5 linked regions of the Tribolium castaneum genome follow. The protein of the gene in region 4 binds, or shares a complex with, the protein of the main gene of each other region. Links are inferred from orthologs where the notes say so. Each region holds a gene or a part of one and is shown on either strand. Other genes may lie near its edges. The genes, in order: LSm3, LSm7, U5 small nuclear ribonucleoprotein 40 kDa protein, Prp6 and U6 snRNA-associated Sm-like protein LSm5.

The links.
Region 1: Prp6 (region 4) and LSm3 share a complex: the UniProt entries of both Homo sapiens proteins name them as parts of the U4/U6-U5 tri-snRNP complex. The link is inferred for Tribolium castaneum from reciprocal best matches to the Homo sapiens genes PRPF6 and LSM3.
Region 2: Prp6 (region 4) and LSm7 share a complex: the UniProt entries of both Homo sapiens proteins name them as parts of the U4/U6-U5 tri-snRNP complex. The link is inferred for Tribolium castaneum from reciprocal best matches to the Homo sapiens genes PRPF6 and LSM7.
Region 3: Prp6 (region 4) and U5 small nuclear ribonucleoprotein 40 kDa protein share a complex: the UniProt entries of both Homo sapiens proteins name them as parts of the U4/U6-U5 tri-snRNP complex. The link is inferred for Tribolium castaneum from reciprocal best matches to the Homo sapiens genes PRPF6 and SNRNP40.
Region 5: Prp6 (region 4) and U6 snRNA-associated Sm-like protein LSm5 share a complex: the UniProt entries of both Homo sapiens proteins name them as parts of the U4/U6-U5 tri-snRNP complex. The link is inferred for Tribolium castaneum from reciprocal best matches to the Homo sapiens genes PRPF6 and LSM5.

What each region holds. Positions count from the first base shown.
Region 1 is NC_087399.1:10,143,096-10,147,272, forward strand, and holds LSm3 (U6 snRNA-associated Sm-like protein LSm3), read left to right. Parts: upstream 1-2,048; 5' UTR 2,049-2,185; coding exon 2,186-2,206; intron 2,207-2,255; coding exon 2,256-2,363; intron 2,364-2,409; coding exon 2,410-2,586; 3' UTR 2,587-2,604; downstream 2,605-4,177. Other genes in the region: SCAR (actin-binding protein WASF3), read right to left, coding at 2,922-4,157. UniProt on the Homo sapiens protein: Plays a role in pre-mRNA splicing as component of the U4/U6-U5 tri-snRNP complex that is involved in spliceosome assembly, and as component of the precatalytic spliceosome (spliceosome B complex).
Region 2 is NC_087399.1:1,125,004-1,129,025, forward strand, and holds LSm7 (U6 snRNA-associated Sm-like protein LSm7), read right to left. Parts: upstream 1,777-4,022; 5' UTR 1,644-1,776; coding exon 1,617-1,643; intron 1,563-1,616; coding exon 1,248-1,562; 3' UTR 1,176-1,247; downstream 1-1,175. Other genes in the region: glucose-induced degradation protein 4 homolog, read right to left, coding at 1-109, 311-478, 669-815; ENGase (cytosolic endo-beta-N-acetylglucosaminidase), read right to left, coding at 2,068-2,185, 2,237-2,709, 2,896-4,001. UniProt on the Homo sapiens protein: Plays a role in pre-mRNA splicing as component of the U4/U6-U5 tri-snRNP complex that is involved in spliceosome assembly, and as component of the precatalytic spliceosome (spliceosome B complex).
Region 3 is NC_087399.1:11,298,921-11,304,623, reverse strand, and holds the start of U5 small nuclear ribonucleoprotein 40 kDa protein, read left to right. Parts: upstream 1-2,350; 5' UTR 2,351-2,448; coding exon 2,449-2,559; intron 2,560-2,607; coding exon 2,608-2,737; intron 2,738-5,660; coding exon 5,661-5,703. Other genes in the region: uncharacterized protein LOC656468, read left to right, coding at 134-208, 257-344, 397-470, 521-674, 725-831. UniProt on the Homo sapiens protein: Required for pre-mRNA splicing as component of the activated spliceosome. Component of the U5 small nuclear ribonucleoprotein (snRNP) complex and the U4/U6-U5 tri-snRNP complex, building blocks of the spliceosome.
Region 4 is NC_087399.1:6,882,355-6,887,322, reverse strand, and holds the end of Prp6 (pre-mRNA-processing factor 6), read right to left. Parts: intron 3,342-4,968; coding exon 2,829-3,341; intron 2,778-2,828; coding exon 2,220-2,777; intron 1,934-2,219; coding exon 1,649-1,933; intron 1,601-1,648; coding exon 1,265-1,600; 3' UTR 1,228-1,264; downstream 1-1,227. UniProt on the Homo sapiens protein: Involved in pre-mRNA splicing as component of the U4/U6-U5 tri-snRNP complex, one of the building blocks of the spliceosome.
Region 5 is NC_087394.1:33,640,010-33,644,031, forward strand, and holds U6 snRNA-associated Sm-like protein LSm5, read right to left. Parts: upstream 1,883-4,022; 5' UTR 1,746-1,882; coding exon 1,703-1,745; intron 1,600-1,702; coding exon 1,403-1,599; intron 1,321-1,402; coding exon 1,291-1,320; 3' UTR 1,261-1,290; downstream 1-1,260. UniProt on the Homo sapiens protein: Plays a role in pre-mRNA splicing as component of the U4/U6-U5 tri-snRNP complex that is involved in spliceosome assembly, and as component of the precatalytic spliceosome (spliceosome B complex).

The sequences.
Region 1 (4,177 bases), about 3.3 Mb from region 4:
TACGTTATTAGCCAGTAGTGGTAGATGCAGCGACGTCTTATTTTAAGGAAATGAAAATAAGATACGGAATCAACGGAAATGCAATTGGTGGAATAATCATTGCCAATCCACCTGCTGGAATTCCCTAAATTGGGATGTCGGTCGTGCTTTTGGTTATTTAAGCTATAGAAAGTTGTTGTTAGGTTGGTAGCTAGGTCTAGTGCGGTGCTAATAATCTTTCTCTTATAAACCTCATTTTTTGTAAATTAATTGTCAGTGTCAAAAATTTTGGAATTATGTTGGAACCCTGCCACATTGACATAGACGACTAATTTTAAATGGAGTTGCCAACGTTGAAACAATTTGAAAATTGATTTTAATTCCGAATGGACTTTAGCAACCAGTAATTTTATATACGTGCTGATTCTTTTAGAGCCTATATTACAAACTTTTTAACTTCTAACATAGGTTGAGCTTTAAAATTTTGTACACGATTCAAATCGATCACTCTGAGTTAAAACTAAATTATTTTCAAGATGGCTGAACTTCCGGAACTACGAGAAATTGGCGACAACTTTGAAATTTTAAATGGTGACCACCTATTTTTATTGTGTTTCTGAATTCGCCTTTTGAAACTGAGTAAAATGTAAACCTAATTGTTAGTACTTATCTGTCTTAGTTTTTGAAATATGTCAAATGTTTTGATAAATTTTTTATTTGCAGAGGTTTATTTAAAACATCATAGCTCTTGAGTACTTTAAAATAAGTGAATAATTCTTTTTGCATTTGATAACCAAAGGCTCGAAGGGTCTTCTGAAATCTTTACGATTGTCAACTGTCAAATTGCAAGGCTACTATGATATTTTGAAAATGATAATTAAAAAACAATTATAGAACAGTTTTTTTAAATGGAATGACTTCAATGGCAATCAAAAGAACATCAATTTTTATGCAGACTTATTAACATCTTCTATATCTATCTCTTACAGTTTTTGAAATAATCTCAAAAAACCGAATTCAAGGTAATTATTTTCATTTTTAATCGAGTAACCTTTCAAAAAATACGATAAAATTGTACTAATGATTAACAGAAATTTTAAAACTGTCCCCCATTTTCACTCAAAAAGTTCAAAATTCGATGGCAAACTGACTGAGTTATTCACTAAGTTAGCATAAACCATAATTAAATATTAATGTTTTGCTGCTTATTTGATAATGAACCAGCTAAAAACTAAGTAAAGTGTCGAAGTTTGACAATTGTTGACCATTTTGCAAGGTCTACTTGATTAACTATAAAAATTACGAAGTAAAATCCGTTATTTGTGATTTTTTCAAAAACTGTAACAGGTAAGGTACAGGACGTGTTGATAAAAATCACCATGAATATTGTTCTTTCGATTGCCGTTAAGAAAATAGAGTCGATCCATTTGAAAAAACTGAATTATAGCCGATTTTATTTTTAATAACCATTTAAAAAAATCATACTAGCCTTGAATTTTGACAGTTGACAATTTTGAAAATTTTAGAAAACTTTTCGAAACTCCGATAATCGAATTAAAAAAAAATATATTCACTTCTCCTAAACGGTTCAAAGGCTGTGATAATTTAAATAAACCCTTGCAAATAAAAATTTTACCAAAAAAATTGACATATGTAAAACTAAGACAGATAAGTACCAACAATTTTAATAAATTTTACTCACTTTGAGAGAGTGAATTAAAAAATGTAATAAAAATGTTTAGTTACTCTTCAAAATTTTAAAGTTGGCGCCAATTTGTCGTGGTTCCGGAAGCTCAGAAATTTTGAAAATAATTTAGTTGAATTTCAAATAGTCGCTTTTAAAGCACTAGTTTTTTTTAAAGTTAAAAAGTCTCTAATGTAGGTCCTAAAAGAATCACCCTGTATAATCTGCCGATTTCTAAGTGTTAGTGAGTGTTAAACTATGCATGATCCCTAAAACGAGTGATTGTATTATTTTAAAAAGTAAAACGCGGTAATAATCTGTGGCTTTAATTAAAAAACAAATTTTTTTTAGATTCAAAAAAACACCTTCCGCCCGAATTTTATTACATGCCAAGACCGGTCTGTCCGAATATCGTTAAAATCGAAAAAGGTGTTCTTATTGTGGCGACACTGTAACGACAACTTAACCTAACTTTTGGCCTGTTTAATTTAATATTACAAACAAGTATCATCTTTCGTGAGAATGGCAGATGACTTAGAAAATGTAAGACCCATTTCATTTAGAATTACATTTCACCTACCACTCCTTTCAGATTCCCTCAATCACCGTCAAAGAACCGCTCGATTTAGTGAGGTTAAGTTTAGACGAACGTATTTATGTAAAAATGCGAAACGATCGAGAAATCCGGGGCAGACTCCACGTAAGTTGTCTAACAAAGTTCCATCCATCACAAACCGAAATTCCAGGCTTATGACCAACACATGAACATGATCCTGAGCGACGCCGAAGAGACCATAACCACGGTTGAAATCGATGAAGAAACATATGAAGAGGTTTACAGAACGACGAAACGTAATATTCCCATGCTTTTCGTCCGAGGTGACGGCGTGATCTTGGTCTCACCCCCAATGCGCACTTCGTAAATAAAACACATACGTTGACATGATGTTTATTTACCCATTAAATATCGTATTTTACAAAGATTTCCTGATAATTGGTTAAAATATTAAAAAGGAGTATTAGGATAGTACGAGTTAAATAATTCTCTATACAACTTAATTTATAAATAAAACGTTCATTACAATATGTACATCTCAACCCAAGTCAAAACCATCCACTGTAAACGCAATCTAATAAGCTTATCATGCAATGCCTCAATAATACTGGAAATTTGGCATATTGCTAAAGTTTGCTCGTTAAAAATTGAAAATTCGTTGCTTCAATACACTTGACTAGCCGTGCTAGCCTTCCTTCTATGTCACGCCGACGTTTCATTTTCGCCCCAACCCTCACTATCACACTCCGAATCGCTTCCTGAATCCGAATCGCTAAACTCGACTGCAACCCTCCGAGCTAAAATACTCGCAACATCGTGGAAACCGTTCCCTCTCTCCACCTCCTTCTGTTCAATCTTCTCCACCTTGCGCAACTTAATCCCATCTCGGATAGCTTTGAGTAAATCATTCCTGGGATCGACGATAGGCGGCGCCTGCTTTGGCCGATCTTTGACAGGTGTCAATTGCGGCGGCGACGCACTATTTATAATTTTCGCCAAATCGCCGTTAACCAATGGGGGACTAGTCGTCGGGCCGTTCAGTAACGGCATTGGTGGAGGTGGTGGCGGAGGCGGGGCTTGTGGAGTTTGTTGTTTGGGGGGCGAGGCTTGCTTAGGTATGGGCGGTGGTGGAGGTAAGTCTTGCACCGGTTCGGGAGGTGTGGCTTGATGCGGACTGTTTGAACGCGATTGGGTGGCGAGATGTGCGGGGATGCCGTTGGGCGGTGACATGGTCGTGTCGGGTGGTGGGGGCGGTGGTGGTAGGTTGTCGCGGCCGGAGAGGCTCCGCCCTCGCGTCGGGGTATTGGACGAGGGCGTGCTCGTGTTGCTAGGTGGTGCGGGTGGGGGCTGGCTTGGGCGGACTTTACCGCCTCGTGTGGGCGTGCCTCCTTGGTATAATGATTCGGAACTGAGTGGGCCTTGGCCATACTCCTCGTACGGGGGGTAAGTGGGGGAATGGAGACCGTCGGTGGTTTCCTGTTGGTACGAGCGTCGTATTTCGATTGAGTTCGGTCGTGGTGGGCGTGGTTCAATCATTTCTTCGGTTGGTAACATTTGTTGTTGTTGCTGGATGATGGGTTGTGGGGTGCGATAGATGGTGTTTTGTTGTGGCATGATGTATTCGCCGTGGCCTACGGCGATTTGCTTTTGTCTTTCGCGGGTGTTGTGTGGTTGACGGACGCGTTTTTTGTGGCGGTTTCCTTGGCCGCCTTCGGTTCGTGGTCGGTGTGGTTTCTTGCCACGGTCGTGCATCATACGTTCGGTGTCGTTGAGCATTTCTTGACGCCATAATTCGAAGAAGTAGTTCGGATCGGTGTAGAATTTCAGACCGTCTTTGCCGTCGTCACGGTAACAATTGAGTTTGTGGAGTGGGGGCGGTTTGTCACAGGAATGATACGTTTCCAACATGGCCGTTGGCATAGTCGCTCGGGAGAATATCTGGAAAAATTCAATTAATA
Region 2 (4,022 bases), about 5.8 Mb from region 4:
AATGCTCCTTCCACCGCATAAAAACATAGTCGGTGTCGCCGAGCGCCTTATAATCGAAATTGTCCGAATTGAACGTTTTGGCGTATTGGGAAAACGACGAGAATTTGCTCTGCAACAAGAGATATGTTAAGAAAATAATTATACAAAAAAAAATATATTAAGATAGTAAGCTGTGACTGTCCATTAACAGTTGACATTTGGGTTGGCGCCTTCTAGATTGTGAAAATAATAATTATAAGATAGTGAGCTGCGATGCTTGGCTACTTGTAATTTTTGAAATTGTGCTAAAAACAAAGATTTGGGTGCTCACCCAGTGTTTTTTGTCCACGTCCTCGTCGGCGTCCCACTTTCTGGTCAAAAACGGGTACTTTTGGCTGATAATTTCGCCGTCGAAAAACGTAGTCAAGGTGGGATACTCATCGGTGAGCCCGTTAATTTGCAAATAGCCACACAAATAGGAGTTTTCCTCGTCGACGTGCTGGAAAAACGAGCGAAATTTAAATTTCCCGCCATTTCGGATTGCATTAGCATATGTTGATATTTTTAGTTTTCTTTAAATAAGCGGTGAGCAAAAGGGACGTCACACGTCCTACAAGGGTTCGAACGGTACAAAGTCATCGAAATTTTGGTTAAGGGGGGCAATGGTGCGATTATTTGCAACTTCTAACCTGTAAAACCACTTCCACTTCGTACGAATTGCCTTTCGATTTCTGGAAACCTTGAAATTTGGAGCCGTTGTATAAGAGGGACTTTGTTACCCCCGGCTGTTTTGAATTGGCCGGCGGGGGAGGCGTAATATCCACCCTGACCGGCATTTTTAAAGCACTTTTGCACTCAACTGTCACCAATGTCACTTTTTTGAAAGGAAAATGGCGGCGGTGAGTCATCCGAGTCGGTCAGAGCGTTTTTGCGCATGCTCGGTGCGCAACAGGGCCATTAAATGTGTGGGCGACTGTACTCAACCGTAGTTTTGGACAGAAAAACCCATTTTTGCAATCAACTGAATCAACCCAGATTTATTATTTGGGGCAATTATTCGTTAATCTCAAGCGTAATTAACACGTTTTTTGTGTGTACGCTTTAATTACTTTTGGTTATAAGCATTGGTGGTTGCTTACGCTCATTATAACTAAACTTCTAATTAATTTATTGAGCTAGTTTGTGCAATAAAACAGTTTTATTAATTTTTTACCGGTTTTATTCAAAAAAACGTCTTACAAATTAGAGGTATTTTTATGGTACAAAACTTAGTCTTGGGATATAAAGGGGTTCTGTATGGACTCCATGCCGTCCATGGGGCATATGAGCACGACACTTGTGCCCCTACAGACCACCAAACCCAAGGCCCTCGTGTCTTCTGTTAATTTATAAGGGTCGTCTGGATCTCTCAAGTATTCGATTGTGTTGTCTAAGACGAGGTTCAAAAGGGGGTCATAGCCTTTTAAAATACCACTAGCTTCTCGGCCGCCCGCAAATTTCACCCTAATTGTCTTTTCAAGGTATTTAGAGAGGTCTAGAATCGACTCTTTACGTTTCTTCTCTTTTTGGTCACCGCTCTGATTCTACGGTAAAAATGGGGGTTGAGGGGGCGAAATGGGGCAGTTTGGGGTACGTACTTTTGATTTGTCACCTGACGATGCCATTGTTCGGCTTTATTTGTGGAATTTTGCCGATTTTGAAATTCTAACCTAGAATACGTTTGGAGGTGACGCGTGCATATGGTCTCCTATGCGCACGGAACCTTCCGATTAATTTTGAAATAAAAAAAAATAATTATCGGTTTGTAAAGTCCAGCAATTTCGTAATTAATTTTCTTAGCTTCTAAAGAATTACGTAAAAATTGACGCAATTTTGGGACACAATTTGTAGAGGACTGCTTGCGCAGTGGAGGTACAAAGTTTCAAATGAAAAATGCAAAATTCTCGGTTATCATTTATTCAAAAAAAGTTATTTACACATTGGGGCGTTACTAAAGCATTAATACATGTTAACTATTTGGGCTTCAAGCCCTGGCAAAATGTACAGTATGGCAGAAAATTGTTTGTACTGTTGGTCACGAAAGTTGTGTCAGAGTACTAGAACGTGCTCTTCGACTCCAAGACCGCACAAATAAATCGCTTTTCCCTCCTCTAACGTACATCCAATTTCCAATAACGTACACGGCGAACAATCAAACTGATAAACACTGAAAAAGTTAATTAGTTTTTTTTTCCTACCAAACGTGTGACCGACTTACGCAATTGTTAAATTTTCGTGTAGAAACAAATCGTCGTTACTTCTAACGACGTGATTAACAAGTGAGGGGTTTATCGAAGGATTGATTTCCATTAACGTACAGTTTTTAATTAGGTGTTCTTTGACGGTGCTATTGCATTTAATTTTTCTAATTGTACCGTTTTTATCCGAAGTGAGGAGATTTAAACTTAATTGAGCGGCTTGTGCGCGTACTAGTTTCGTCAAAACGTAAATTGTGATAACTCCAGATAGGAAAATATCACAGGTGAAAATACGATGGACGTAACATATTGAACTATTCAAAAATTCTTTAGTAATTAAACACCTAACACCAGTACTGGTGAAAGCACACTGTAAACAGTTGCACTTATTGTTCAGTGTTGGTATTTCGTGGTGGTTGGGGACCCATTCTAGTGACTTTGGGTGCTTGATTTTTGAGAGTTGCGGGTGTTGCGTGAACAGGTCGTAGACGTCCTTAAAATTAATGCATTTGTTTTTATTAAGTTATTATAATTTTACTTAAAAAGTTATAACCCGCTATTTACATAAGACAAGGACAGAGCTATAGGAGTTCCGATAGGAAAGAGTGAGAGAGAAAGGGCGAACTATTTTTCGTAATACGAACTTGGGCGCGTTATAACTAATTAATTAGTTAAATACCTGGTTAACTCCAGTGAAAAAACTGGTCTTGAAGAACCTCGTAATGGGATGCGTGTATAAATAGGGCCACAGACTGTTCCAAAAAGCCGAGTCTCGATTAATAAAATCCTCGAAGAATTTTTGCCGATTTTCACTTTTGGGCAGCGTTTCGTGCGTCCAGCCTGGCGCGAAAATCGCCATTGATAAGTTGTGTCTCCTTATCATCTGGGCGGCCTTGAAACAGTTGAATTGACCGCCTCCGAAGGTATTGCGACCGAAGACATCCACCCCCACGTAAACGTCCAAAGTCCGATGCTTTGCAAATTCAATCGAATTGTGGATATTTTCCTCAGTCCATACGTAATTGAGGAAAATACCGTCACAATTATCGAAGAAAAATTTATTAAGGGGGTTGAGCTCATTTTGCCATTTCAATTCGCCCGTTTCAATGATACTGTCGTACCAGATGATTAAATGGTCGGGGTTTTGGGTGTGCGTTTGCACCCCTAAGTAGGCAACGAATTTTTTCAACATTTCGGTGTCTTGGAGCGAGTTTTCGATGTTGAGGAGCCACCCGTCGAATTGGAAAATTTTCAAAATTTGGGTCAAAGAAGTTGCGAAAATTCGCATCGTGTCCTCGTCTTTGAAAATCTTCTCGCAAATTTTTTTCCCCGGCTCGAATTCTGTTATCAAAGTTCCAAGAATTTTCACGCCGTTTTGATGCGCGGCATTTATCCAACACAAAGGTGGGATTGTGATTAGGTGGTGACTGAAGTAAACGAAAATATCGATGTGTTGCCAATTATAAAACGAGTACAAATTCCCGATGTTGCTACTTGACAAAAACCTGTCTTCCAAATAGCCACCTTTGTAGTCATGGCACACTAAAGTTTTGGGAACAAATCTCTTATCGAGACGCGTTCGTGGACCGAATTTTTTCGCATCGCAATGACAATCCGAAATTATGTTTTGCACTACTGTGGGGCTGCGCTCGGTCAAGGGCGCGACTCGGCTCACCCACTGGGGCGGGTTTTCGATCACTTCGGAGATGTTGTCCAATGATGTGATTGGAAAACACTCGAATTGGTTTAGTTTGAGTTTTTTCATGGCAGGGGGGCCGTCACTTTCTACAAAGAGATTTGAGACAA
Region 3 (5,703 bases), about 4.4 Mb from region 4:
CAACATTGTTCAGTAAATTTCAACGCCCCTTTTATCGCACAAACAAACACAACCGACCCGAATTAACTTCATTAAAGTACGGTCCTCCAATAAGCCGGTTTGTAACCAACTTTTTTTGTTCCAGAATTGAAAAATGAAACCTTTGAAGACATTCCTAGGATTTGCGAGTCTCCGAACGGGAACTCTCGTGGCTGGAGTGGCCGGAATTGTGAGTTACATTTTTATTAAAACAAGAGAACACAATTCTTTGTTCCAGATTGTGGCAATAATTGGGATCATTGTAATTTACACAGTCCAAGTAGAATTCAAAACGATAGTTTTGGATTGGCTTCCACAGGATGTTGGTGCGTCATTAATTAATTTAATTAACAATTTTTTACACATTTTTAATTCCAGTTCGTATCGTAATTGTGATTAATTTCGCGATGGCTATTCTTATTTCAATACTTTTAATCGCAGGGACTTTAAAGGTAAAGTGGAGCATTATTATTTATTATTATTCTTATTGATTTTTTTGCAGAGAAACGCATTCTTGATGATGCCTTGGGTAATTCTAGCCATTATGTTGGCAATAGGTATATTAGTTTCGGTGATTTACACCGCCGTTCAATTTTATATTAATGGGAAATCAACAGAGGGTACATTATGGATTGTTTTGGGCATCATTGCAGTTAGTAAGTATTTGAAAAATTATAGTTTCGTTTTTCTTATTTTCCTGTTTCAGTTATTTACGTCTACATGTGGCTTGTGGTCTTCAGTTACTTCACTTTTATTCGGGAAGAAACCAAACGTGGGGCTTATATTAAAGATCCGTTCCGACGGCACTATTAGGAAAAACTGTGTGTTTTTATTCAACCAAAGACAGAGAATTGTTTGACGGAGTTAATTTTAGTTAAAACTAGTCTAAAAAAATGTGAAATGTGTAACACGATTTGTTGTTGATGATATTATTGCAAGATATTAATTTTTTATGACGTAGGTTTTAGTCTATTTATTATTGTTGAAATAATCTGCTAATCCACTTTAATAAATGTTTATTTTGCTATTTCTTTCCATCTAACACATGCATTTTACAGAATATGGAAATTACGCAAACTTTGATGGAATGCCGCAAATATTTATCCACTTTGCGTGTCGCAAAGTTTAATGTTTGAGCACTTATTTTAAATATTTTTATTAGATTAGTTGCATCACACTCTCCGTAGGCACGGAAGTAAATATTTTAAGTAAAAATTAATTAAAATGAGTTATAAAAACAGGATATACATATTCTGGAAGAAACGTACGTAAATATTTGCAAATGTTTAGGCAATTTTTTTGGCATGCAATCAGTGTTTTAAGTTTTTTCTGTAATATCGTCTAAGAGGAAGAAATCATTAATCAATGTCGGTCTGTTAACAAAATTCTACGTTTAAAAAAGGCACAGATAACATAATTTTCCAACAAATTTGGGATTTTCGATTAATGATTTTTAGTGTCATTTTAAGAGTTTTTTTACAAACTGATTTATTTTAGAGTTTAAATGAGTTCAAAAATTGAGCAAAATAAACCAAAGTCAAGTCAATTTTTAGTTAATTTAAGGATTTTCACGGTGTTTTTTCACGAAAAAAAGTGCTAAAATATTAAATAAACATCTGAAAATAGACAAATAACATTATTTTTAACACGATTTAACAACCTTTTGGATTGTTTTGCCAAAATTACACAAAAAACATTAGTATCTAGTATCTAATTTTGATCAAGTTTGCTGATTTTTAAGTTTCTTCTGACAGAATTTAAGAAAATATGTAGTTTTTAAGTCGAAACTTTACTGAATCAAACAAAGCAGACTATAATAACGACTATAATTTGGAAGATATCATTCTTATCAATCTATTTTAGTAAAATTACGCAAAAAAGATGTTTGTAGTTTGAAAATGAGCCTAAACTCCGGGGGTTCCTCCTAAACTTAGGAGATGAAACAAGATATAAAATTACAGGAGTTTCTAATCCCAAAAAATTAGTACGACACACTAAAAATGATGGCGCAATAATGCAACAGTCTTATGGGGTTGTACCTCAAATATTTGCCAAGAGAAACTTAATTGTGTTTCAGTGTTGCAAATTACTAACAAAAATCTGTTAGTACCGGGAAAATACTGACAATTTTAGAGCAAAAAAGTAATAAGAATTACGCAAAGTGAGTTAAGTGAGCTAATATTAATCGTTTTCGAAATTTTGGCAAGTAAAAAACCAAATAATTTTTAGATATCGACATTGGGAAACCATTTCATTGTTGTCAAACATTTATTCCAAAGGAGATAACTATTTGTTTTATATAATTGAAACAGGGTATACAATCAAATCGTACTTCGTGCTCTCCACCAGAGGGCGCTTATCGCTTCGTTTTGTTGACGCTAAAAAGTGAGGTTATTGTTTTCCTCCCAATTTTTGTTTAAAACACCAAAAATGGTTGTTGAGAAACGTCGAGCCGAAGATTCATCATCTCTAGTCCCCGTAAGCAAAAAATCGAAAAATGAAGTGGCCACATCGAACAAAAACAAATCGGTCTTACAAGCGGTTAGTAACACTTAACCTCAAAAACCCTCCTCAAATCATGTATTTCAGGCCCCTGCGAGAACTTCCAATCTATTTGCCCCCATTATGTTACTGGAGGGCCACGAGGGTGAGATTTTCACAGTGGAATTCCACCCTGAGGGTCAATATGTAGCTTCATCAGGTTTCGACCGTAGAATTTGTAAGTTGTTTTTTTTGCAATGAGGTTCAGCCAAATAGGTCTTCATATCAAAATTTTGGAGGATTTACTTGAATATCTAATATAGTAATTTGAAGTACATAGAGGGTGTCTTAAAATTAACGCCCGTGCGTTGGGAATTTGATTCAGGGGGTTAACATAATTCGAAAGTTAAGAGTAAAAAATTTTCAATTGTTATTGATAAAAATGTAAATAATAAGCTTAAAGCTGTTTTTCCAATTGTTTGTGCAACATAATTCATCAGTTGATGTTAGCAGGGCTGAGCCATGCCAATTGGCCGCCTGTGTGCAGGTTCCAATAGTAGTTAAAAATTACCAAGTTAAATAAATGGAAGCAAATGTTCATTTTTAAAATATTCTGAACTAGTTTATTTATTCAAAAATAAAACTATTTGTAACAAGAATATTTTTAAATTTTGTACAGGTACATTAGCTGTTAAAAATAATTTGATAACTACAGTTCATTCTTTTTTATAATTAACTGTCAGTGTCAAAATTTTGATAAAGACCAGACTGTATCACACCAAAATCTCATGTCTAATCACTTTCGAAACTAGCTGTATTCTGTATTTGACATTTTACACACCAGATTTGACATTCGGGACAATTTTTGCAGCCAATGAAATTTGAATTCGTTAGTCTTTAGAATTTGTTAGCCTTTTAAAAAAATGTGTTGTGCGTGTTGTAACTTAAAGACCATTAAATTAAATTTGCCAGGTAAAAATTAGTACCATCTTAGTAAAAATTACTATTTATGGTAATACTAACCTGACGGCTCTTTGACAGTTGATTATAAAAAAAATCGACTATATGTATACACGAATTGTTATTGCTTTGTTTTATCAGGGGTGCATGTTTTTTATTTTTGTTTTTTAACTAATATGAAAACAACCTAAAAACAAAAAAATAAGGAAAAACAAACAATCGTTCTTATAAAATAAAGCCAAAACAGAAAAATAAAGCCCTTGTGTAAAATTATTCATAACTTTTTTACCTCTTTCATTTTTTTATTCTTTTTGTTTTTTGATTTTTTGCTCCATTTGTTTGAATTTTATTATACAGCGTGCTCAAAAACTGGCGCACCAACTCATTGGTGTGTGGTAGAGAACTGGTTACATATAAAGGTAAAAATAGTAAAAAATTCTTTGTATTAAAGTTATTGATAAATAACGGATTTTGGATAAATGATATGTGGCAACGTTGTCTAACAGTCATGATCGCAACAGAAGTTGAGCAAGAATAAAAATAAATTATTTTTGAAACGGTTTCCTAGGAAATAATTGCCAGTGTTGGCACATTTACACATTGCGATTTTTTGGATGAATTTTAATTTTTTTAAATTAAAAAAACTGCTAAAATCTGATAGTAAATTTGAAAATAATTATTCATCGTTTTGTTACGGAACGATTACTTGGTATGAAACATAAATACATAAAAAAAATAATGAAAACTAAAGAAGTTAACACAATAAGTTTGTAGCTCCAGATTTTTCAAAATATGACTTTAGGAATTTTTTAAACATTTTTCCCGTAATCTGCACTTGCTTCTCAATAATGTACCACTGAGTTGGTGCGCCAGTTTTTGAGCACCCTATATTTATCAGAAATATGAAGGAGTGTAGTACTAAAATAGTAAACAAAAAAGTTGGTGGCTATTTAAAATGTTATTTTAACATGTCTTTTCTCAATAACTGGATGTCAAAGACTAGCGTTTCTAAAAATAAAATTGATTTGTGTATTGAAAAAAATAAGCCATAACTAAGATATAAATTTTATGTGTTATATTAAGTTTACTCTGTAGAATAATTGGACAGAAAATTTTATGGTTTCATTCTAGAATTTTTTAATTTTCTAGTCCGTATAAATGACTACTATTTAGTCATTTGCTAAGTAAAATGTTGACATTGCGTGGTAAAATAATCTAAATGCTGAGTGGTAATTATTTATCTATTTTTAGCGATATTTGGCCAACCAGTTTTGCAAGTTATTTGTGCGTTAGGTATTTTACAGGGTTCAATTTTTGTATTAAAGCCCTCAACTTCGTTTCGAGCTTCAATATTAAAACTTCACGCTGTAAAATTTTACCTACTACAGGTAAATTGTAAATAACTATTACTAGAAAGGCTATCATTCCCTAAATTTATGCGTGTAAGTTAAGACTCACCCTATATACGTCTGAACTTATATTCATTTAGGGATCTTCTCCAAAAAGGTTTCTAACTTTATTCAGAAGGAACATATGAGGATGTAAATAAAGAAAATTATCAATTATAGTTTTTCGAAAAATTTTATTTTTTTATAATAAAGGCAATACCAAATTCAAAAACGTCTTCCGCATTCAATTCAACAGAAAATTTTATGATTTTATTCTGTTTTTTTAAGTTGTACAATCATTTCTTTACTTCTAATCACTCTAACTCTGTTCATTTTCATAATGAAATTAAAAGAATCCAAACTATATTTTTATTTAAAATTTTATTTATTCCATCGTCAAGGATAAATGAAATTTTATCACTTAGAGAAATAATATTGTTCACAACTATTGTTGTTTTTGTTGAGTTTTTGACGTTTATAACTGTCAATCAAAATAGCTCAGTAACTCAATCGAAATAATGGAGGATGGAATAAAATTTTGTATTGCACACGATAAAATTCACTATTATCTTCTCAAGATCTCAAAGTAAAATTAAATTTTATTGTCTTGTATATCAATTGATTAGTTTTAAAGATCTACATATTTTTCTTAGCTCTTACCTATTTTGAAGAATTTGGAAAAAACATCTTTTAAGTATTGAAAAAAAAAAGAGTCGTTTTTACATACTTTACGGCAATCTTCATCAAAAAATTTGGTTTAAAGGCCTATTTGTCTAGACTAAATATGTTGGTTTAAAACATGTGCGATTTCAGTCGTTTGGAGCGTTTACGGTGAGTGTGAAAATTTATCGGTAAT
Region 4 (4,968 bases):
TGATTCTGCGTTTATTAGTTCTTGTTTTGTGAATCTGTATTTTTTGTAACAACTCATAATTTAAACACTTCGTAACCTCAAAAAATATTTGATAGTTTGTCACCGCTATGCCCCTGCTATGTAAACGTAGTGACAGAAATGTCAGATGACGCACACGCAAACGGAGCTGAGCGCTACCATAGTAAACTACGCCAATGCACGCGCTATAACGGACCATTTCATGGATAAATATGAACATCGCGAGAGCGCTACGACGAGTCAGCTGATCGGTTGTGGCCTCATGGCCACCCCATAAAATTTCCTCACACTGCTTCTAAACCAAAGTTATGGTTTCTTTTATTTATTGAATTTTCAAATTATTTACATGAAATTAAACGAAAGACAGGAAAATTACTGAAAATTATTACGTTTGGCATGTAATTATCGACTTAATTCGATGATTTTTTCTCGTGTTTTATTTAACATTGCGATATCAAATAACTTTCTGATTATTTACATAAATATTTTCGACTCAAAAACGAAGCAAATCGACTGAGACAGGTAAGATAATAAGTTCTTGCAAATAAATAATTCTGTCACAACACCTAATCAAATAAAATTTCCGTGGAACAGGTAAAAAAACATCAAATTGAATTACATTTGTTGATTTTTCGGCATAGTTTCACGAAATTTAACGACATGATTGCGTTTCGGGATGTAAAACGACCGAAACAGGTAATTATCGACTCAATTTTCTGCATTTGCTTTAACAAAATTTCACAGAAGCTCTGAAATTTTTGTTTATACACGTGTTTATAGGTTTAAAAACTGAAAAATAACACAATTTTCGACTTAATTTGGTTATTTCCACCCACATTTAATAAAAGTTTGCATAATGATTGTAGGTGTGACAAAGACAAGCTAAAAGCAAAAATAATGCAATATCAACATAATTTGGCGATTTTTTTGGTCTATTTTAACGATTAGTTACGACATTCATTAACTTTGGTTAGTTAATTTTATGATTCTTGTGTTAGAAAACAAATGTTTTAAGTTGTTTAATTGATATTTCATTTAAAGAGAAATATAAAAGTCGCATAAAGTTTGCCATTAATTTTTGCAGAACTCTAATTCACCACAGACTTTACAGTTGCAAGACCGTGTCACGTAATATTTAGCCCCTCATACCGTGCACAAATCAAACCAACACAAGAAAAAAGGAACAGGGAAAAAATAACTGGAAAAAAATACCTGTCCTCGCTTATTTCTATTAAGTAACACTAACTCAGACTGGAATAACAACTTCTTTCGCAACCAGGGTTAAAAGCTGCTCATTACTCAGCCCCACATTCTTAATGTCCTTGGAAATGGAGCACCACAACTCCCCATGATGGGGCTCCGCCGCCAAACACCTCTGTTTCACATCCTCCTGTTGCTCCACCGTTCCGTGAAGCTGCTCAAACCTGTACCAATAAGCCCACGCGTCTCCAAAATCCGAATCGATTTTAATAGTCCTTTGGAACCATTCCCGGCATTTCCCGATTTTACGCTCCGACCAGAATAACTTACTGACGGCTAGGAGGACATGTGGGTCGTGCTCGCACTTCTTGAGCGCGTCCACCTATCACGAAATTAATTATTTTCGAAAATTTCAACTGACAGTACTTACAGAACGTGTCTTTCGTTGAGGCCGCGCTTCCATGAAAATCGACTCGGCCCAGAGGGGCCCCGAAGTGGGGCATTCTTGAAGCGCCTTGGCCATCATTGCGTTCGCGATGTCTTTCATACCGGCCCGTTTTTCAATACGGATTGCCTCAAGCCACAGTTGGTCGTTTTTGGGGTTTTTCAAGCGGGCTTTTTCCAACATTGAGCGCGCTTTTATCAACAAACCGCGCTTTTCTTCGAGGCGAGACAGCAAAATCCACAACGGGATGGAATTCGGGCATTTTTTGATCTGTTCAAGCAAAAAACACAATAAAAAAGTGAGGTTATGTGGGGCGAAAGTGTGGTTAGGTTGCACTAGACTTCGATAAATTCACTATTTCCTCTTTTTACACAGACAAACTCTTGAATAAATAGCCGTGAAGGACAAATTCAATCAATTTCGCACGCAAAATCGCGTTTTTTAAGCAAAAATGTTAAAAATATTTGGTTGGACGCGTCAATGTTGCCAACTGAGTGAGTCAAAAATTCAAAAACCCAACCTCACTTTTGGAAAAAAAATTGAAAATTCGACTCACCGCCCCATAATACACATCGAAAGCCTTCGACAACTCGCCCTCCTGTTCATGTATCTGCCCCATCATCATCCACAACTTGGCGAAATCCGGGAAGACCTTCAAGGCTTCATCTAACAAATTCTGGGCCGCTTTCAAGTCATTGAGCGACCACTCCAACTTGGCACTCTTCATCATGACCCTCGGCGTGGGGGCGGAGCCCCTGGCCTTGGCCAATAACCTTCTCGCCCTCTCATATTCGCGATTTTCTGACTCAAGTTTGACTGCAGCAAGCCAAATTTCCTCACTGTTGGGGTTAGCCTGAAAGGCCAGGGCGAGGATCCCTCGGGCTGCGGGTACGTCACCCGCCAACCACTTGCTTTTCGCCCCCATGAGCCACAAAATCTCACTTTTGGGGCAATGGGCAACGGCTCGTTGAAGGAGCCCCTCGAGGCTTTCCCGCGTTCCGTGGTTTTTCTCCAAATGGGCGGCACGCAACCAAATTGATTTTTTGCCCGGGAAGGTGGCAAGGGCGTGGTTGTAGACAGTGCGGGCGCATTCGTACGCCCCCTGGCTCACACACTAAAAAATATATTTGCAAAAAATTGGAAAAAAAATGGTTATTTTTCCTACATTTTCGGCGTCCTCGATCCAGGTGTGCTTCTGGTCCTCGGGCTCCACCCCATATCCGATGATTGCCTTGACGATGGCGCGACAGCAGTGCACGTGGCCCCCTTTTTCACTTTCTATAGCTTCTTTAAACCAGTGCTCTCGATTTATCTCAACTCCGTTCGAGCTTAATGAAGTTATAGCCCTCTCGATGATTTTCTCCACCATGGCGTGATTACCATTGGCTTCTTCCAGCTTGGCCGCAGTTGTCCAGATTTGTTTATCAGTGGGAATATTTTCTCGAGCTTTATTTAAGACTTTTCTGGCATTTTCGTACGTTTCGAGTCTTGCGAGGGCTAACCATAGTTCGACAGCAGTGGGGCAACATTCCACTGCTCTGGATAGGAGAATTCGGGCGTCTTCTGGATTTTCCAGTTCCACGGCGGCTTTCCAGAGACGCACTGAGTTCGGGATGTGTTCCAGGGCTTTTCGGTAGACTCGCCGTTTGGCTTTTGTTTCGGTTTCAACATCTGCAGCCTTGAAATTAGAGAAAAAAAAACAGTTGAGACAGGAAAACATAAGATAAAACTATGGAATAAAAGAAGTACAAAAAATAAGATAATGTAAAATAAAGCAAGATTATACAATAATTACTAAAAAGGTAAATAAAAAAAGAAAACGCTTAATAATAAAAAATAACAGTACAATTACTAAAATTATATAATTCTTTTTGCCTGCATTTTTCCAACAATTTTTTACCTAAGCTTTTATAAGATTTTATTGTTATTGAAAAACATTAATCACGATCCTTAACAATCCTTAAACAATTTTTTTTCAGTTTTAACAAGACCATGTAATAAAATTGTTAAATCAAACGGGTTTTATTTACTCGACTCACAATAAATTGCAATGAAAAGGAAATCAAAAAAAAATAAAAAATTAATACAAAAAACAAGCGTACTGACAAAACTGTCATTTAAAAGTGAGTTTTCTGCTCAAAATTACGTAATTTTCAATGTAATAAAAAGACTTATGCACCGTTTTACCAAATTTTCGTAAAAATAGTTAGCCTTTGGTTCATTAAGAAAGCTAAAAAGATACTAAACACTTCAAAATAATGTCAATTTCGATCTGTTTTAGTCATATTTGACAAAATTTCAAAAAATAAGTAAGTTTTTTACTCAAAAACAAGACGCCAAACTTATGTCATTACATAATCTTAACTCAGAAACAAAAAAATAAAATACAAAAAAGTTTATTTTTATTAATTTTTCGATTTTAAAATATTTTTCACATCAAAATATTCAAACAAGAATTTTTGTGGTGAATTTAAAAAAATAAAAAACTACAGAAACGGTCAATTTTTGTTTAAAAAATTGTCTTCAGTCTCATTTACATTTAACAAAAAAATAATAAACAAAATAATGAGGGGAAAAATCATAAAACCAAATAATAAATTAATTATTAAGTATTATCCTACTTAATTTTCACTCTTAAAACAAATACAAAATACATAAAAATAACAACATTTATGAACTAAATTTCACAAAATAAGTTAACTGTCGACGTAATTAAGTGATTTTTCGACTTAAGTGTATTTTAATTTTCGCTTTTAAGCGTGTTTGATTTTGACAACTTAGATTTTTATGGTCCAAAAAATATTAGAGCCATTATAGATGCAAAAAAAGCTTAAAACTTGCTTATAGTCAAGAATCATAAAACAAATAAAAACTTTCCTCAAAGCTTGTCATAAATAAAACTGCACATGTCTGAGTATAAAGTTGAAACTCCTACTAAATCTTGAAGAAATCTAATGAAACAAATGTCTTACAAAACCGCACTTAATAAAATATGTGCAATGATTGAATTTTCGATAAAATAGACGCAATAGTTAATGGGTAAGTACTTTAAAAATGCTATATTAATAACTACTAATAAATTCACTAATTTAAAAAAAATATGAACACTACAAAAATCTTAAATTTTTGTTTAAAAATTCTCATGACTGACTATTAATTTTATTTTTTTGTTAATTTCATTCAAATTAAAAAAAAAAACCACAGCAATTTCACTCTGTATAAAATAAGATGACCAAACCATAATAAACAAAATAATGACGATAAAAAAAGACAGGTAAAAAAGACTTTTATTTCTAGTAATAGGT
Region 5 (4,022 bases), on a different chromosome or scaffold from region 4:
CATACAAGGTTTGTATGTTCTGGTTCCAAACTTCCCGGGAGAAGTAAAATTAAAGATACAAAATTGTAAGAATAGGTACAAAATTAGCCAACTAGGATAAATGAACCACGGAGTGTGTCGTGGTGTTTTTCCAAGTTTTTCCTGATAGAGTTAGTTTGTGTAAAGGTTAACTAGGTATTACTAGACGACTGTGATTGGAACATGGCTCACTAAGGTGCGGTTTAAGAAATTAGTTGCCTTTGTAGTACTTATTATATTCATTAGTTACATCGAAATTAGCTTCTACGTTAGTTGAAAATTGTACAAATGAGGAATTACACTCAGGGTGACTACATGATACAGTCGGCTTTAATTTCAACAGACTTTAACGGGGATTAGTGCACAAGGGATTATGTTTATCCATATTTCGGAATAATAGGCATAATTTATGTATCGTGCAGTCAACCTTTTTAAATCAAAATAGATATTACAAATTGTGGTTGATGAATAATGAGTTTACGATTCGTTGACTATAAGAGATGTTTAATGCAAACCCTGAATACAGTATTTTCTGAGATTAAACTTAACAAAGTTTCAAAATTCTGTAGAGTAGTTTAATCAGAAACTTAAACTTGAATAGTATTCTAACTGTGATTAAAAATGTCTATTCTATTTCTATAAATGAATAACAGTACAACGGTGTTTTATTTCACCCCCACCTTAGTTTAGTGATTCGTAGAATGCGCTGGAACAAACCATTTTGCTTTACGACTTTTTTGAGTTACGACTTTTTTTAGTGAAAAAAAAATGCTGCTGGCCGGCTCTCTTCAAATTATGGAACTATTTTGGTCCAAACCTATATAAATGTTCCGGGTACCGGAAATCGAGACAAAAAATTGGATAAAAAAAATCGAACATATGGACTTTTAGCAACTCCAGTGGGTTCTAAATTGCGTAAAAAGCTGATATATGGTAAAATGAGCCGCAAAATTCACTGGAACGAACCGTTTTTACGACTTTTAGTTATTTTCTAACGTCGTTCCATTCCTTTTTTCATTGTAAAGGCCTGGAGTAGTTGGCAACACATTATACAACAAGATAAGGTGGTTGCCTAACCCGCGATTACAAAGTAATGTTCTGAACAACTTATTTTTTTGTGTTAAAAGGCCCAGTTAGGACAAATTTGACACAAACACATCTCTCCTTAAATGTACAGTGTTGTTTTCATCAAAAATAAGAGCTTTTTATGATACAAAAAAGGGTATTAAACAAACACAAAAATGCCCTTATTTTATACTTTATTCAAATGACTTACTCTGGCATCTCTCCACCTGGAACAAGCTAAAATTTTGAATTAGTTTCAAGAATTAATTAGATACAGTATGGCATATTAAACATAAAAACGAAGCACAAAATAAAGTACCATTGTTATATTGTTCCCATTAAGCAGAATTTGGTCCAATTTAGTAATTCTCCTTCCTTCAGGCGTTGTTTCATATTCCGTTACATCCTCCAGTAACATATTGACAAAATCATCAAAGCCTAATAACGTCCCCACGATTTCCTTATCATTTTTCATAATAATATGGATCCTTGACCCTATACACTTATCCACAAGTTCTACAATAGCAAAAACAACGTTAATAAATTAATGATTATTATTGAATGCTCAAACACCGGCAGATAACCAAAAAAACACGTTACGTTTTTTTGCTTTACTCACCTAACGGAAGCAAGGTGGAAGAAGACACAGGCATGGAAGTCATTCTGACCGTTTAATAATACGTTCAAATAATTATAAATTCTTAAATTAGCAATAAATATTTGAAACAACTGTTTACATTTACAAACAGCAAAAAGTAATCAATTTGACAGTAAAAAGGATTTTGACAGGAGCTTAATGGCGCTAGTGTCGCAACTACAGCAAAAAGCTCAAGCTAGGACTTACGTTACGGAACCGAACAATTTAATAAACGATCAAAATACGGCTTAAGACAATTACAAAAAGTAGTGGCACACGTTTGTTAAGACTTTACCGCCTTATGGTTACATTTTTACGGCGTGGAATGCATGAATTGTTTTTATTTTTTATTTCTTTTGGAGCGCGTATGTGCGAGCTTGGAGCTCTTGCAGTGTAACAGGTCATGCGCTTTGCGGCTTTCTTCGGTATTTCAGTCGTTTGTCGTTTTCGTCAAATGCCGACCGAGGTGGGAGTTGAGTGTGTTGTAGTTGTAGGTTTTGTGTTTTTTGTAATAAATAATCGTATTTTTAAGTGAACTTGTGTCTAAAATCGTGACAATAATGTTCGTGGAGTAAATTTTGGAATTTAAAATCATCAATTTGTAATAAAAGGTCAGTATACTCCAGTTAATTGAAACAATGGTGTTATTTTGGTTTAGCCTATATTTACGTTCTCTAAGAGCTTTATACCCCTACACATTGATTTATTCCTCTTTAATATGATTTATAACGCTCTATTTTTATAACACGACAGCTCGAGAGCGTATAATTTATATCGGGGAATAAATGGTAATTGTAGCAGAATGTGAATGCTTAGCTATTTTTATTTCTCAGGAGTTTTTCTTTTATTTATATTCGTGTTACAGTTATCTTGGAAGAGTTCAGTTGCCCTGTCCATGCTGTTTAAATAAACACATTAAAATGCTACTTGCAGCAAACAATATTCTATTATGATAACTTGACCACTGTGGTTGACATTATCATTATGTGGATTATTATAATGAAATTGTGATTAGACACGACCGATATACCTATGGGAATAATAAACATTCTTTGGATATACCGCTAACAAGGAATGTGGCCAGGAAATTCCTGAACGAATTTGTATTAATCATATTCTATTTTTCCCAACGTTCCTCACACAAAGTGTTTGTTTCCACAGATTTTTATAAAGTTCACGTTAGTTCTAATGTATTCCAATATTTGTGGCGAAAGAAAGTAAACTCATCTCCATTTCCCTGAAAGCTATTAAGAAAATGTCAAGTGGATTTCCACATTTTTACTTTCAGCATATTACAGGTACACAGGAGGAAAGCAACCAAAAGACATGCAAACGACAGGATATGCCGTTGAAATGGGCATTTTTAGATAAAAGACAAGTTATTTACTCATGTCAAACGCAAATTGTTTTGATTTTAAGCACAAAAAGTGTACAAAGTAATGATTACTTCCAACACCAAACATAGGAACTTAGACACTTTGCTAAGCAGTAGTGTTTATAAATCATGACGTTGTTTACCTAAATATCAACGCGGAACATAAATCTATAAGTGGGGAATATCAACACTGATGTAGAACTATGAATAAAATTTGAATAATTTTGATGTATCGATTTCAGCATTGTGCATTATTACCGATGCCAGAACGCATATCATGAGCATGAAAAGCAGGAGTGGTGAAAGTAATAACTTTGACAATAACTGTAGAACGCATAATAGGATGGACTTAACGGACCATCGCGTATAAAAACGCCATGATATGTTTATACAAAAAATACGCTTAATGCTTTATTGTATTCTAAATTCAAAGAACAAAGCGCCAAAATACTTTCAAATTTTTACATGATAAGCTTCTCGTGACTTCCTCAAGGTGAGTCTAAAATATAAACTAATTACTACACAAAATTCAGCGTTTGCTATTAAATATTCTCTGTGCATGTGATTTTTTGTGACTAATTATTATAGTCGCTGCACAGAAAAACTATTACTCCTTATGTCATTCATAAAATAACCGATGCTCAAATGGTGTTTTGGGCAAAAATTCACGTAAATTAACAAATAAACGTATTTTTTACGTACAGAATCAGTCGTGTGGTGGACTTTCAGTGCTTCGTAAAATTTGCTTGAGACTGATGTCTGGAAAACCAAACATAGAATTCAAATGCAAAATAGCTGAACACATTTGTGTTTTAACTAATAAAAAAAGAAGAGACAAAAAATTACGACTTTGAAAGTCGTAACTGTGAAAGACTAACAATAATAAATAAATCATTGTGTAATTGTCTAATATTTAAAAGGACATAG